2 linked regions of the Astyanax mexicanus genome follow. The protein of the gene in region 2 interacts with the protein of the main gene of each other region in a pairwise test. Links are inferred from orthologs where the notes say so. Each region holds a gene or a part of one and is shown on either strand. Other genes may lie near its edges.

The links.
Region 1: the proteins of swsap1 (region 2) and zswim7 interact in binary tests that used the Homo sapiens proteins (3 or more experiments, as listed by UniProt). The link is inferred for Astyanax mexicanus from reciprocal best matches to the Homo sapiens genes SWSAP1 and ZSWIM7.

Annotation. Positions count from the first base shown.
Region 1 is NC_064408.1:30,315,649-30,323,845, reverse strand, and holds the start of zswim7 (zinc finger SWIM domain-containing protein 7), read right to left. Parts: upstream 3,577-8,197; 5' UTR 3,435-3,576; intron 476-3,434; exon of another isoform or gene 474-475; 5' UTR 466-473; coding exon 390-465; intron 1-389. Other genes in the region: nanos2 (nanos homolog 1), read right to left, coding at 4,717-4,991, 5,853-6,099. UniProt on the Homo sapiens protein: Involved in early stages of the homologous recombination repair (HRR) pathway of double-stranded DNA breaks arising during DNA replication or induced by DNA-damaging agents. Required for meiotic progression, hence for fertility.
Region 2 is NC_064426.1:39,073,532-39,082,057, reverse strand, and holds swsap1 (ATPase SWSAP1), read left to right. Parts: upstream 1-5,312; 5' UTR 5,313-5,526; coding exon 5,527-5,790; intron 5,791-6,878; coding exon 6,879-7,505; 3' UTR 7,506-7,910; downstream 7,911-8,526. Other genes in the region: znf653 (zinc finger protein 653), read right to left, coding at 1,234-1,569, 2,426-2,466, 3,539-3,855. UniProt on the Homo sapiens protein: ATPase which is preferentially stimulated by single-stranded DNA and is involved in homologous recombination repair (HRR). Has a DNA-binding activity which is independent of its ATPase activity.

The DNA.
Region 1 (8,197 bases), on a different chromosome or scaffold from region 2:
AAAGTGCCATAATAAATATGCTGAAATCTAGTTATTTAAAGCTTAATACAAAAAAAATCAATCTGGCCCATTTTTGTCCAGTCCCACTTGTATTCAGTCAATACAAAATACGCTTGGTATCTAAAGATAGTTTCAATTTTATTTCGTTTTTTTATTTTATTGGAGATATAATGCTATGAGATATGATAGCATCTATTACTGTGTGAACTGCTCTCACAATATTCTGTTAAACTCTATTCAGTTGTAAAGTAATCCTAAACAGTTTTGATTCTGCTGATACTGTATTTTTGCCTTTATAAGTACCATAATTAAAGATCAAATCAGAGATAAAAAATAATTCCAAATCACCCCATAAAATGCTGCAGCATTTCTAACCTACTGTTACTTACTCTGGGATTTCTCCGAGTATGCCCTCTGTACATCCTTCAGAAGCTGCTCAGCAACCGCAGTCAAACACAAAGCCATTGTAGATCCTTCAGAGACATAAAGGATTATTATAGAATATGATCTTTTAGTCTTATTCTATAACTGTACACCAATCCAAGTTGAGCATATTTATTGTGTAAATGAATCAACTGAGAAAAGCAGCTTTTTCAAATGTAGCAGTAAACAGTTTTAAATGTTTTACTCAATTTGACACCTCGTTAATTGCCTACTGTAACTCTATTACTCAAGTTTTATGTGAATTGATGAAGAGAAAACCTTTTTTTATGTAAAATGATGTTAAGTCATTTGAAGTCTATTCTTTTGTCATTTCCATTCTTCTCAAATTCTGATGAAAAAAGAAAAATGACAAAAAAGGAAAAAAGGAATGCTGATAATACTCATAATGGTCTTTGTACAACATAATATTGCAATGTGGCCCACAAATAAATAAAATGTTGCTATAGTGACGTTAGAAATCATTGAATCATTGATGCAGTTATCACAATATTAGGTTTTGCAATGCTTCATTAATTCTCAAAACATAGCACTGGTATTTAATTCATACTTTACATGCATAGATTGATGGCAGACAGTGGGTAATTGTGTGCCATATTTAATCCCCAACCACTAGATTGCGGTGCTGTTATCTGTCTTCACATCCTACTGTACCAAATGAATAAAAGTAAGACTGTTTAAAACTTCAATATATTGCAAGTAATGATGTGTTTATATACCACAACATATTTATAACATTGATATTAAAAACTGTAATATACTTACAGCATTGTGACTCCTAACCCTGTATCAGGATGTGTATCATACTGCAAGGCCCTGGACTTTTTTTTGCTATGTTATTAGCTAGGAAAGGCAGCATGTCTGTGAGTAGCTAATGTTTATGCACTGCGAGCATAGGCGTAGGAATACTAGCAATATTAGAAACAGGTGGATTTGTCCCCCCAAAAAAATTATATCAGTTCGCTCAGGTCAGCTGTACTATTAATGAGGAGACAGACCGGACCGATCACGGAGCCGGTTCAGGTATTAAGTCACGCCTCTCAGTAGAAACAGCCAATCAGCTTGCTGGTTTTGCGGCGCGCGGAGCAGAGGCAGTTTGCTGTTGGGGAAGCCCCGCCCCCTCGCTGTGAGATTTAGCAGCGGGATCGGGACGCAGCAGCTTCAGCTGATTTTAAAACAGATATGGATATACGGAGATTTTTCTAAAAGAAAGGTAACGATAGGCTAACCACTTCAACTGTGATGATATGTTTCTGATAGCTGGTTAAAAATACACGTCTCTGAATCAGCACACAGTTTAAACCCACTGTGATTAATACACTGCAGCTGTGTTAGTGTGTAAGCTTATCTTTGGAATTAGCTAGATTGGGAGTCAGGGTTAAAGGAAAAAATAAAATATATATGTAATGTTTCCCTGTACCTGATCAGCTAATCACTTTAATTTTCAAACTGTTTATTCATTTAGGATTACAGGACTTACTGTGAGCTATAATGAACGAAAATTGATTTAACTAACTAGTTATCTAGAAGCTGGATGTAGATGATCGCCAGAATTTCGTACAGTACTTTAAGTTGGTAGTTTAAAGCAGTTACTTAACCCCGATCACTGCCCTAAACTAGTGTTTTCCACCTGATCAGCTAATAAACAGTCATTTACTGAGTTTACCTGTTAAAAACCTTTAGCCCCCTATGGAGCCTAAATTAATCATGTATATCCACCAGAGGAAGCTCTAGAATATGCAGAACAGTTTTAATATGCAGTAGAATATATAAGAACTGGGTTGAGAAACACTGCTGTAACGTGACTTCTGTTCATTTGTATTTCACAGTAAGACCACATATCCTGACGTTTATAAAAGCTTGGGTTCATATTGGCAAATGTGTCCCCCCCCCCCCATATCAAGCCCGCTCCTACGCCCTTGACTGCGAGTATTTTGGACAAACACACAATGCAATATTAGGATACTTCAATCAGGTCTGCCTGGCCAAAAAAAGTTTCCACCAAAAAAAATAAGTGACACACACTAATATTTAGTTAAACCGCCTTTAGCTTTGATTGCAGCACACATTCACTGTGCATTGTTTCAATAAGCTTCTGCAATCTTACAAGATTTATTTCAATCTAGTGTTGCATAAATTTTTCACCAAGATCTTGCAGCATTGATGATGGTAGAGTCTGACCACTGCACAAAGCCTTCTACAGCACATCCCAAAGATTATCAATAAGGTTAAGATCTGGACTCTATTGATCCATTGATTGAATAACCTGGTCTATATTCAGTATATTCAGGTAGTCAGCTGACCTCATTCTTTCAGCACATACTGCTGCTGAACCTAAACCTGACCAACTGCAGCATCAACCCCACATTTACTTACTTAAATCCACTTTTTGGCCAGGCAGTGCATATTTAGCTCTTTTCAACGGCCCACACACAGAGCAGCCAACCGGGAATTTGACTGCTGCAGCCGAACCATGCTATAATAACCAGATGTGAAATTAATAACTGAACTAATACACGGCATCTACTCTAAGTATATTTGTGAGACATTAAACAGCAGTGATTATACCATATACCATATACCATATACCAAATACCATGTAGTTAGAGATGAGATTAGGTCATTGAAGTAGAACTTATCCTATATTATTCGTACTCACATTTAAGTTAACTAACTACTTCTTTTTTAACAGTACTGTAGGAGTCTGCTGACACGACTTTTATCATTTTTGACAACTACTGTTACTTCGGTTAGAGTGTGTCAATATTTAGTAAGTGTTAACAGTGCTACTGCTGGGAGAAAAGCTGTTTGAACAGATAGTTTACGTTACTGTAATGAACAGTCTAATTTCAGTAATTAGGACTGCCTAATTACTGAAATTAGACTGTTCGTGACAGTAACGTTAACTAGCTGTTAGCTAACCGAAATATCAGCGACTACAGCTGTTTCTCCTGTAAATTACAGAAAGTATTTCAAAAATACATCCCACAGACCTCCTCTCAACTCCTCTCAACTCCACTCTCAGTAAACATCCCCCGACTCTCCTGTACAAAACACTGCACTGGTTACCCTTCGATTATCCCACGCCGGACACATCGCCGTCTCCAGGAAACGGAAATCACACGGAATTGTGGGCTTTGTAGTTTTTTACGCTGTTTTTTTACGCTGTATTTTTTTTCACTTCATTATATAAACTATAATAGGCCTTATTCCACACGCAGAACAGAAAGGTATAAATCTCCACTGCTCCACAGTCCAGCGCTTTCTCTGCAGTGATGGAGCGCCATCCAACATGAGCACTGAGCTGCAAAGCCAATTAGCCATCACCAGTATTTAAACCATACTGTTTAAATGTTTAGAATTTTTTTTTTAATGTAATCTTATGAAGAAGATAAGGAAGTAGACACCACTGTGATAACTATCTCTGTTTGCTAAGTAGATTTTACTCTATAATATTGCACACTTTTATATAATTTAAGTTTTTATTAATGCATGCAATGTACAATAAATCAAAGCGAGAGAAGAGAGAAAAGCAAAAGCACAGCTTAACGTTTATATCTAGTCTAATCATATTTTGAAGTATAAAAAATAAAGGTTTTATTTTATGAATTAAATATGAGTCAGTGGCTCCATCTAGTGGAGAAGTGCTATCTGTAGCTAAATACAGAGGCAATAAGAAGTGTGGCTATTTATTACAGGAGAGGAGGAAAAAACTAACTGGGTTGTAACTTTAATTATTTTAATTAGGTGTATCAAACATTATTTTAATTTAGTTTGTGGTTATTGCATTAGCTTTAATAATAAGGTAGACTATCATACTTAACTTATTTAGCTACGTCTATGTTTTTAGTTATTATTATACTCTACTTTTGTTCACTGTTTTTTGATATAGTTAAAGCAATAAACAGTTATTGACATCCTGAATTCTCAGTTTAGACTGACAGAGAGCGAGATGTTTTGCATTAGGAAAACTTTTCTTTATTTTGTACAAAACAGCAAACAACAGAAAAAACATGAAAAAAAATTTCCTGTATAAAACTCTTCAGAACAGCGTGCAGCCGCGCATGTTTCTTGGGGCTTTGTATAAGGCTTTATATAAACTGTACAGAAGCTCTGTGGAGAAGAACACACTGTTTAAAACCTGCACATGAACTCCACAGAGCTGAACTTTAGCTTTAGGGAAAAACCTCCATTGCACTTATGGTGGTGTTTGAGACTCGTGTGCAGTAGTGATTCAGTCACGCGCTTTTTCTCTCACTGTCTTTTCTCTGTGTTTTACGGAGCGCGGGTGTCCCGCCTGTGGGCGGCGCTGCGGCGCGGCTCTGTGTCGCTCCTGTTGGGGCAGTAGAGGCGGGTGTGCGCGGTGTCTCCGGTGGCTCCGCACAGCGGGCACATGTAGCTCCGCAGCACGGGGCACATCACCCTGCCGTCCCGCCTGCGCAGCCGGTGGCTCCGGTACACCTCGGTGCTCTCACCGTTCCGCCGGCAGAAGGCGCAGGAGCCCTCGCGGACACTAGGGGGCGTCTCGGTTCGGACCGGTGCATAAAACACTGTGAAGAAACGGAAAGAGCAGCTTTTTATTATGTATATAAACTGGATTTAGACTTAGACCTAGAACTTGTTTTGGCTAATCTGAAGAGTTATTTTAATTAGTTTTCATTCTCAGTTTATTATTTATTTTACTATACGTATGAAACAGTATAATAAAATACAGTAAAAATAGCTTTAGAAAAATAAAGCATTATTAAAAATAAATAAATAAAACAAAAGATACATTTTCAAACGTATGACTTATGATTAAATAATAAATATTTATTTCAGTGCATAAAACACTGAAGAAACGGAAAGAGTTGTTTTTTTTATTATGTTTATAAACTGAATTTAGACACAAAACTTTTTGGCTAATCTGAAGAGATATTTTATTTGTTTTATTATATATTTATATAAAACAGTATAATAAAATACTGTGAAAATAGGTTTAGAAAAATAAAACATTATACAAATGTAAAGAAATACATCAATTTTCAAACTCATAATTTATGATTAAATAATAAATATTTATTTTAGAGCATAAAACACTATGAAGAAACGGAAAGAGCAGATTTTTATTATGTATATAAACTGAATTTAGATCTACACAACTTGTTTTGGCTAATCTGAAAAGTTTTTTATTCAGTTTAGATTCTTTAGAATTTGTTATTTGTTTTATTATATATTTATACAAAACAATATAATAAAATACTGTAAAATAGCTTTAGAAAAATGAAGCATTACAAAAACGTAAAAAAATAGATACATTTTTAAACGTAGGACTAAATAATACATATTTAAAAGCATTGTTACTTTTGTTCATTTTATTTCATACATCAGTTGTTAAGTTATTAGGTTTTTTATATTTATTTATTACTTACATTCTTCTCCACTCTCCGCTCCTCCGCTGCTCTGAGACAGCGCCTCTCCCTGGTCCTGCTGGCCCCCGGCTTCTCGCTCTGTCCCGGGCAGTAAGATGGAAGTGGTCGGGGATATGGGAGTGGGGGGCTGGGGTCCCACATCCTCGAGCCTGGACTGCTGGAGCACGCGCTCCAGGGTGTCCCTCAGATTTAGGTAGTCCCGCCATATGAAGAAGCGGCTGGTGGGGGTGCTCAGGTCCTTCTGCATGGTGATGGATGTATGGATGAAGGGGGTCGTGTGGAGGAGTGTGTGTGTGTGTGTGTATGAATGATTGTGATGAGTTGTGGGGAGCAGAGGTGGGGTGGGCTTTTATAGGAGGCCTTAAGTGTTTAGGGGATGTTGATTGATGGCTCTGACCCCTCGTCCCCGGGGCTGCAGTCTCGAAACTTTCACTATAGGCGCGCGTGAAGAGGTCGCGTGTCTTAATTAGTCTGGGGTGGGGGGTTGTTTGAGCTGTGCTTCCACTTTAATGCATAGTGGTCTTTTAATAAAATGTCTCTGAACAGGTGTGTGAGAGTGAATAGATAAATGGGTGTGCATTTATTTGCAGAAAATGAGAAATGGCTGAAATAACAAAAAAGACCTCAAATAATGCAAAGAAAACAAGTTCATATTCATAAAGTTTTAAGAGTTCAGAAATCAATATTTGGTGGAATAACCCTGGTTTTTAATCACAGTTTTCATGCATCTTGGCATGTTCTCCTCCAGTCTTGCACACTGCTTTTATATAACTTTATGCCACTCCTGGTGCAAAAATTCAAGCAGTTCAGCTTGGTTTTTATGGCTTGTGATCATCCATTATCCTCATAATTATATTCCAGAGGTTTTCAATTTGGTAAAATAACAAAAAAAAAAAAAAAAAAAATCTTAATTTTTAAGTGGTCTCTTATTTATTCCAGAGCTGTATATTCTCATACTGTAAGCAAAGTGATATATTGCAGTTGTTTAAATCACTAGCATAGAGTAATTTTTTTTTACTTTTTATCAGAACAGTGGGATCTAATGAGAGTACAAAACTGCGATCTACACCGGGTTTTTAAAAATCGATACACTATTGCAAAGCGTGCAAAATATTGTGATACTTCCTTATATCAATATTTTCTAACACTCCTATGTGTTACTTTGTTTTTGCACACATTGCATTAAAAAGAACAAATAAACAACATAAATGAAATGTAACAAAACTGTGTTCTATGTAGAGGATGTAAACTTGTTATTCATAAATAAATAAAAACCCTGAACGTGAGCAGGGTAGGTGAGTATTGCAGGTGTAGGCGGTGTGTTGTTAACAGGTTGTGTGATACGTTTCAGTTCAGACAGACGGCGCGTGCCTGTGTGTGTGTGTGGCAGGGCGCCGCTAAGGACCTGACCTCTACAAGACCTCGTTCTGCACCTGTCTCTCTCTCCTCTCCCCCCCCCCCCAAACGCGTGTCTGTTTGCGTGTTATGTGTTTGATAATTAGGTTGAAATGTTATATTTGTATCTTTTGTATCTTCTGTTTAATGCTAAATATGACACGTGTATTGTATCTGTGTGTGTGTGTGTGTGTGTGTGTGTGTGTGTGTGTGTGTGTGTGTGTAAAATACAAATATTTGTTTATATTAATAAATGCTAATTAAGTCCAGCAGAAATGTTTATACGCTCCAGAAAAAATAAAAACAATAATTTTCCTGCATATTTGTATTTTGAACATAACAGGAGGGTTACACTGTTTAAAAGGTAAATTAAATTATACAATAAAGTAATCGTGTAATATTAATATGAATAGATTCATATCTGATATCACACACTCTGCTTTAGAGGTTAATGTCCTGATACTAATACTTTTTATGTATTACATCTTTAATATTAAATTTACAAAATTAAAATCATAAAAAGAAAAAAAATGAATGAGAAGAGGTGTGTCCAAACCTTTTATGGGCAATGAATATGTATACATTAATTTAAATTTATTTAAAAAATAAATAAATAAATAATTAGATGCACTCAATAATCTGAATATAATCACCTCTTTTACACCTATTTGACTGCTCCAGTGGTCAAGAAAACAGGATACTCTGATTTCTTAAATAGGTTCATTCAAGGCTGACAATCGGGTTTTCTACAGTTATTGGATTATTAGGTGCATATAAACAGACTCATCTTTTAACATCAACCTCATGAAAAGATCATAGATAATATCAATTATTTCAATTGATAATTGAAAAGAAACTAGGATCAATACCAGTCTGCCAATTTCTAGTGAATTTTGTGCACAGGAGCTGTGAAAAAGGGTACAAGTTAAATATACAGGTTTAAGGATACA
Region 2 (8,526 bases):
TAATTCAAATTGAATATACTAGGCCTAAAATGAAGCAGATAAAATGTTGACTTATAATTTTATAATAATAAAATGTGTGTCAGATCCTGAGAACCCAAATTTGTAGGGCTAAATTATTTAATTAACTCTGAGCTGATGTATTTGTTAGCTCAGAACATTTTTTCTCCATCAACAAACAGAAACACAAATACTTTTAGAGCAAATTTCCATGACTTTTCCAAAACTTTCTGGGTATTTTTATTTTTTCAAAACTTATCCAGGCCTGGAAATAGCTATTTTTAAAATCCATGACTTTTCCAGGTTTTTCGTGATTGTATGAACCCTGTAGTGAATTTCAAAAAAATTAAGAGTATCATTAAAAAGTTACTTTATTTCAGTAATTCAGTTTAAAACGCTCAGTTTAAAAAGTTAAAAATTGAAACGCATATATTATTATAAGTTTTATATCAATTCCAAAGTCACTGGAGTGTTTTCCCAGAAAACCTTACAGCACTTCATGCTTCCCTCTGCTTATCAACTTTTATGGAGATAAAAGAGGATTTCATTTTCCAGCAGGACTTGGCACACTGCCCACACTGACAAAAGTACCAATTGGTCTTATATATAGTAATATTCTAATTTTGTGAGACACTGATTTTTGGCATTCCTTTGGCTTTAATCCATAATAATCATTAACAATACGATAAATAAACATCTAAAATACATCACTCTATGTGTAATACATCTATATATGAGTTTCACATTTTGACCTGAATTACTGAAATAAAATAACTTTTCAATGATATTCAACATTTTTGTCGTCAACTGTGCACCACGCAGCTTGATTTAGGGGTGCGTCAGTGTGTCTTTGCTATCGTAAAAAAGTACAACTTGCACGGCTTGAAGCATGTAAAAGGCATATACTAATTCTCATTAAGAGCCAGGTGTGTTTTGATTGCTATTTCAAGGGAGCAGCTACCTGAACATGTCCAATGCTTCCCAGTAGATGAAACTGACCTGTTAAATCATTGATTATTGTGTAATACTGGCACCAATGGAATGTTTTTAGCCAATCACATTGCAGGGTCAGAACTAACCATGGAATAATGCATGTTAATCATTTAATATAGAACTCATTTACATAAATCAACCCTTTATTTCTCAATCAGAGAGGAAAGGGAAAGGTTATGAACAAATCACCAAAATTTGATCTATATTGTAGTATGTATGATATACAGTATGATTTATCCACACCTGTCAGCTGAGTTTGGTTCACAGCTCTTCGGCTAGCCCTTGTGTTGATGCGCACACCTGTTGTGGGTGTCTCAGCAGCTCTGTTTTTCTCCGGCTCCTCTGTAGCTTCATCCTCCTCTTCCTCCTCCTCCTCCTCCTCTGATTCACTAGCACCTCCCGCAGGCCACGAGATGTGCTGTATGAAGGAATGCTCAGCTTCACACTGCCAGAGAACAGAGGTGGACAGACCCAGCGTCGGCTCCACAGCTCGCAGTTCAGGCTCATGAGGACAGGTCTGGCAGTGCTCCTGGTACCAGCTCACTAAACTGTGCAGGCTGGTGACGGCCACCTTCTTTCCTACACAAGGAAACGAATGACAGAGTCAAAAAGAGAGTCAGAAGCCCTTTCTGGATGGGATTAGTTTCTCAGGGGGTCCTGGGATAATTTTCTCTTTTACTTGGGAGTCCTCTGTGATTTTATTCCTGTCCAGAACGAACATGTGTTTTTCTCAGACGTCCTCTGAAAAAAAATTACAGGCTGAATTATCTACTGTTTTTCGCTGAACTCTTTCTTGATCCGCCGGTAATTTTAGTCCCGTCCGGATCCACATGTCTGATTTAGTTTCCTCACGTTTAATAAAACAGCTATTTGTCCACTGCCGTGCACCATATTTACACTTTGGGCACACATTTCCACGGAGATACACGTAAAACACAACAGCAAGTGGAAATGGAGGAGCTACTGAACAAGATTTCATGTGACCCAGAAAGCCAAAAAAAAAAAAAAAGAAAACTCTCTCTGGTCCTCCAGTTTTTTCAATTGCATTCCGGATGCAAGAGTTTTATCACTGAGTAAAACTGTAAACTGAATGTAACTGCTGCCAAACTAAGGGTGGAACGAAAAACTAAAAAATGCTATATGTGAGGGAGATATAAAATTACTGAAAATAAGAAGGACCTTGTTTAACTACTCTAGCAGGCTCTGGAAACACACAGAGCTTTACTAAATCTACTGGTTAAGCTGGAACTTCTCACAATACATTTCACTGTTTATCTAGTGTGCTGATTTTACTAAAGTTTGGATCAAATAAATGAGAAAGGCACCTAACAAAGAGAGTTTTCAAAGTCTAAAAGTCTAACGGTTTCGGTCTAACAGTCTCGCTTTGGACTAATACACAAAAAAATATAGTGACCATGCATTTGAGTTTACTCACCTTTCTTCTGATTTTTGCACAGCTCTGGAATGTTGTTCTTCCTGTCAATCAGAAGAGAGGACAGGATGTTATAAAACCTATAAAATATTCTGCTATAAACCATAATCGTAATATCGGATATCAGAATCGGCCCAGAATTCCAACATCAGTGCATCTCAAGCAAATCTACAACCAGTTGGAATCAGCAAACTACGGATCCTCTAAGGTGAGGATGTAAAGGTGAGGAGGTAATGTAAAAAAAAAATAATAATGCATGGCCACAGCTTATTAAAGCACAGGAACGAGATACTAATGCCTGCCCACTATTATTAAAGGGTGGGAACGAGATCCTAATGCATGGCCACGACTTGTTGTGAGAATGAGATCCCAATGCACGGCTACGACTTATCAAGGCACAGGAACTAGATGTGTGGCCTCGACTTATTAAAGCAAAGGAACAAGATACTGATGTGTAGCAACAACTTTTTAAAGCATGAAAACGAGATACTAGTGCTTTGCCACAACTTTTTAAAGCGTAAGAATAAATCCCAATATGTTTCCACAACTTATTACACAGTGGGAACGAGATCCCAAAGAGTGGCCACGACTTATTAAAGCGTGGGAATAAGATCCTAATGTGTGGCCATGAATTACTAAAGCATAGGGACAAGAAACTAATGTGTTGTGACAACTTATGAAAACAAAATGTGGGAATAAAATACCTACACATGGCCACCACTTATTACAAGCACAAGAACAAGATCCTTATGCATGGGAACAAGATATTATTGCATGGCCATGACTTATAAAAGGTATGGGAATAAGATTTTTGTATGTTTTACATGATGTCATCTTAGGGGCTGCGTAGCAAACCACCTGTATTAGTTAGCTAGTTAAACCTCTCAATCCACTTAAGAGGTTTTATAGCACTTAACCCGTATTTAATGTTAGTAAGGGCTGATTTAAAAATATATGATATAAAGCAGATAAGTAAATATAAATATGTGGTATAGGCAGGTACAAACAGGTATAAACAAGCATAACACAGATATAAGCAGATATAAGCAGGTACAAGCAGATATACCCAGGTATAAACAAGCATAACACAGGTATAAACAGATAATAAAGAGGTACTGGTGGCCGTGCGCTGCGTGTCTCCGCTGGTACCGCTCTCCGTAGGCGGAGTTCAGCAGGATCAGGTACTCGGCGAGTCCGGCGTCGCTCAGGCTGCTCCGCCGCCGCAGGTCGCTCCAGATCCGGTGCGACTCTCCGAGGTAAACCCGCCGAACGTCGTACTTCTTCCGCGACTCGAGGCGCCTCTGGGCTCGGTCCGAGTCCGACAGCCGTGGCCGACCCCTGCAGCGCCGCAGCATAGCTTTAATCTGCTCCCCGGAGCCGCTGGAGCTCCCGGAGCCCAGGCTGTCCGCCTTACCCCCACACTGAGTCGCCATCTTTACCCAGCTGCAGCTGTTGTGTTTCTTCTTAAAGGGATTTATGAGCCAAATCTGCGCATGCGCGCTCTAAACGTCACATACTAAACTATATTTTACCCGTATTTTATTATTTTAATATCCACATTATGGTACAGATATTAACCATACTTTATTATTAAAATATCCACATTATTACACAGATATTAACCATATTATTATTATTATTATTATTATTATTATTATTATTATTATTATTATTATTACATTATATCTTACAAAAACCTCACATATTAAACTGTACACATTATTATACAGATATTAACCATACGTTTTATTATAAAATCCACATTATTAAACAGATATTATTATTATTATAAGTAGTAGTAGTAGTAGTAGTAGTAGTTGTAGTAGTATACAGATATTAATCTTATTTTATTATTATTTTATTATTTGATTACATATATCTCGCAAATACCTCACATATAAAATTATCCACGTTATTACAAAGAATTAATTACAGATATTAATAAGATAATTAAATGATTAGTTGGATTGCTTAAATGCGAAAAAGATGCTCAAATAACAAATTATTGTTAGTTTGTTTTATTTAGGTTTATTATTATTATTTTTGTTGGACATACGAATTATTAACTTGAAACTTGAAAAAAACACCAGCAACATAAAACAAACAAACAAAAAAAGCAAGAAACAAGAGTTAAAAGCAAAATCAATAGTACAGACTAAAATTAAAACCAGAAAAATTAATAACTTATCAAATAAAGACTAATAATAATTAGATTTAAATTAATTAAATGGCAAAATGCACAGTGAAAAAAATGACTAAAGTAAGATGAATACAGAGCCCCTAAGATGACATAACATTTAAAAAATATATAAATTGGGGCCACATGCCTTACTAAGTCATGGCCACGCGTTATTATTATTATTATTATTTTTACATGACATTACCTTAGGGGCTCAGTAGATAAAAATAAAAATAAGTTCGAAAATTAAAGATAAATTAATGATTATACACTGATAAATGTTTTAGTACCACAGACATTATTTTTTAAGGATTTTAGCTGACATTAGCCACAATGCTAGTGTCTTTATCGCCTAAACCCGTTTACTGTAGAAAAATGAAAACAGACAGGTAACCTTTATTTGCGTTTTTATCAAAATATTTTTATCTACTTTGCTTAAATTAAAGGAATATTCTGGATAAATTGTCAATTAATATTTTTAATTTGTGTTTTTAGCCTCTTTGCTCTATTGACTCCCATTCATTAAGGGCTTACTAGCGGACTCTCCCTATCGGTTTACATTGGAAACAGGGGAAATACTGTGTAAAGTGGGTAGGCTCTCCCAGAGCCATATACAGGCGTATTTATTTGACAGACAGGTGGATTGTCCAATCAGAGCAGAAAAAAGCTTTTGCTGGAATATCAACTGGCCAATCGTAGATCAGAGTGAGAGGGGGTGGGCGTTGAGATGGGCGCGGGAAAAGCAAGTGATGTAGTTTTTAGTTAGCACTGAATGCTAAAAGTCAGTCAGTCAGTTTAGTTTATCTGTTATAGCTAGTTTTCTTGTTTAATTCACCAGACTCCAATCGCTGGAAACACGCTTTTAAAGAATTCAGAAGATGAAGATAGCTGTGTTTTATTGGTTGTGAGGATATTTAGAGCAGATATGGTGGATATTCTGGGGCTGGTGTTGAGGCAGTTCAGCTCCGGCAGTATCACCGGGGTGTGTACCCAGCCGGGTACCGGGCTGTGCGCCCCGGAGAGCGGCGCACTCGTGACTGGAGACCGAGGCTTTAGTAGGCCGCTACTGTTACTCTCAGCTCTGACTGCAGCTTCAGAATTAGCAGTTAAAGTGCTTTATTTCACTCCGAGTCAGATTCAGAGCCTTCCTATATCGTTTCAGGGTGCCAGGAGAGCTGAATGTCTTAAGGTAACACTAATTACTGTATAAAACACGTTTGGAAACACCTTAAATGTCAAGAGTTAATTAACCTACTTGAATTTCCTTCCCTTGAATTTAAGTAATGTCCTAATCCATATTATAGCAAGGACTACCCAGCTAAATACAGATGGGAAAAAACATACATCATCTAAAATGTTATAATGAACTGACCTTCACAAGGATTGCCCCAGAAAAGGAGGAGCATAATTTAGTTACCTCTGTTACACAGGATAAGTTCATCAGTGTCAGAAACCCCAAGTTAAAAAGCACCCCAGATAAGAGAGTATTTTGGTTTGTTTAACACTGTTAACTTACTACATTGTCTAGATGACTTCAAAAGACATTGAATGAGAAGGTGTGTCCAAAGTTTTGACTGGCACTGTTCAAGTGAAAACTCATATTATTAATAATTATTATTTACTGTAAATGTCCTGTTTTACACTGCAAGACCAATGCAGTACAGCCTATAATTTTAGAACACAAGTCACCCATCCCAAATTATCATATCATGGTACTACTTTTTTGCTGATTTTTGCAAAAGAAAAAATCACACTGTTCCCATTTCCACATATATATATTTACTAGATACAGATTATATCTGTCCAGTATAATTTATTTTACTTTAATCCTGGATATATAGAGATATTTGGAGTGTACTATTAGTATCATGACATTCTGGATCAATAACTGATAAAAATCTTGGATTTTTTTTAAATATCTCAGTTAGGGGTGTGCCATATTATATTGTATGCAATAATAAAACTAGATTTTATTTTTGTTGCAGTAGTGTATTTTAGAAATAATTTCTTTAATTCAGTGTTTTGTCATATCACCATATGACATGAAATATCGTGATATTTTTTTAGGGCCATACCTGTAATTTAAACCTTCTGAACTTCTGTAAAAGGGGTGAATTACAGCAGAATGTTGGGGCCAATATCCTGTTGTGTTTTGTTTATATTCAGTATTTAATGTAAAATAAAAAATATGTATGTTAATTTAATTTAATATTATTTATTTAAATAATAAATAAATTTATTATATTTTCTTTTTCTTTTTGCTATCTCTCTTTGTAGAAAATCAGGTTTGTATACCCCAAGACCCTGGAGGAGCTTCTGGAGGACGTGGCCTCTCTTCACGAGCTGGTGCCTCAGTCTGGATCTCTCCCTTCTCTGCTCATCGTGGACGGTTTAGAGCAGTATGTTTGTGGTCCAGCTGCACAGGACAGAACCCCACAGGAGGCTCAGAGTGCAGCGGCTCATGTGGTGGCTCTCCTGCACGACACGGCAGCTTTCCTCACCCAGAAACTGGGAGCCAGGGCGGAGAACCAGGACCAGAACCAGAACCAAACCCAGGACCAGGTCCAGAGCCAGTGCAGGGTCATCGTCTCCTTTCAGCCTGAATGGGAAGGACAGGGTGGGTGTCCTGCTTTAGTTTCAGACCCCATTCTTTCTGTTTTGGAGCGATACCTGCAGGTGAGATGCACTACAGAAAAGGTGAGGAGGGGGGAGGAGCCAAACGAGTGGCTGTTTTGTCTCACAGGGCCTGGACTGCAAGCTGATGGGGATGGAAAATCAGAGGAACGGCTTCAGTGGCGTGTAGTTCTGAAGTCTAATGGTACACTGGATTTCTGCCCAATCAGTCGTGTGAAAGAGGACACATTAGAAACCCTGCAAAACCCTGTGGAAGTAAAAGATGACTAGACTAAGGGTGGGACAAAATATCGATATGGTTTCTGCTTCAATACTCCACATGGTGGTGCTATAATCAAATGAATAGGGTAAATAGAAGAATATTGGTTATGAAATTCTTTAAAAACTGACACCAGTAAATCCATATTTTATCCTCTTCAGTAACACAGATGCTGAGATGTATCGTAGAGAATTGTTTTGTGATATATCGAGTGTCGCAGATTCACAGTATTGCGATATTATGCATTAGGGCGAGAGCCCTTGTGTTTATATACTATTTCTTAACGATACATTGTTGTTGTGGACACAGCTCTTTGAACCGTAAACAAAAAACCCAACTCACTTCTCGCTTTATGAATTGTTCACTCTTTATATTTGTGCTTGTTTGCATTACAGTCCAATAAAAAAATAAATACAGTCTGTTAAAAAACACAACTCCTTGCCAAATACAGGAAAGAAACTGCAGACAATATTTCAAATTTTAATAGAATAATGGATTACAGATTTACAAAGTATAAAAAGAAAATTACACAGAAAATATATGTTATATATGGTTTTAGCATTAAACAGACACATTTTATAGTTGACCCCAGGCACTTGCTTTTACATCCCCACTACAAAAGCGTTTAAACGGATGTTTGTAAAATTATTTAGTGTTTGCATCCTAGTGTTTCTTCATCTTAATTGGCATTAACATGCAAACTGTTCATGAAATATTTATTTTTACAGAGATTTTATGTTTGCCTACATTGAAGAATTTCATGCACAGAATTTCCATGGATGATATATTGTCCGAGTAATTATTACAATAAAAAATATTAATGTTATTTTAAATCAATTGTGATGATAAAACACCTTTTAAAACATGAACTGGAAGATTTATTATTATACTAAACATCATACTGGAATGAATTCATTTTAGCATGCTGTCCTTGCTAAGAAAAATGTATAACATTTATGTATAATATTGTGGGCAATATGTAAGCCGATCAGGTTATTATTGTGACAGGCCTGTTTCCTCCACTACAATTAA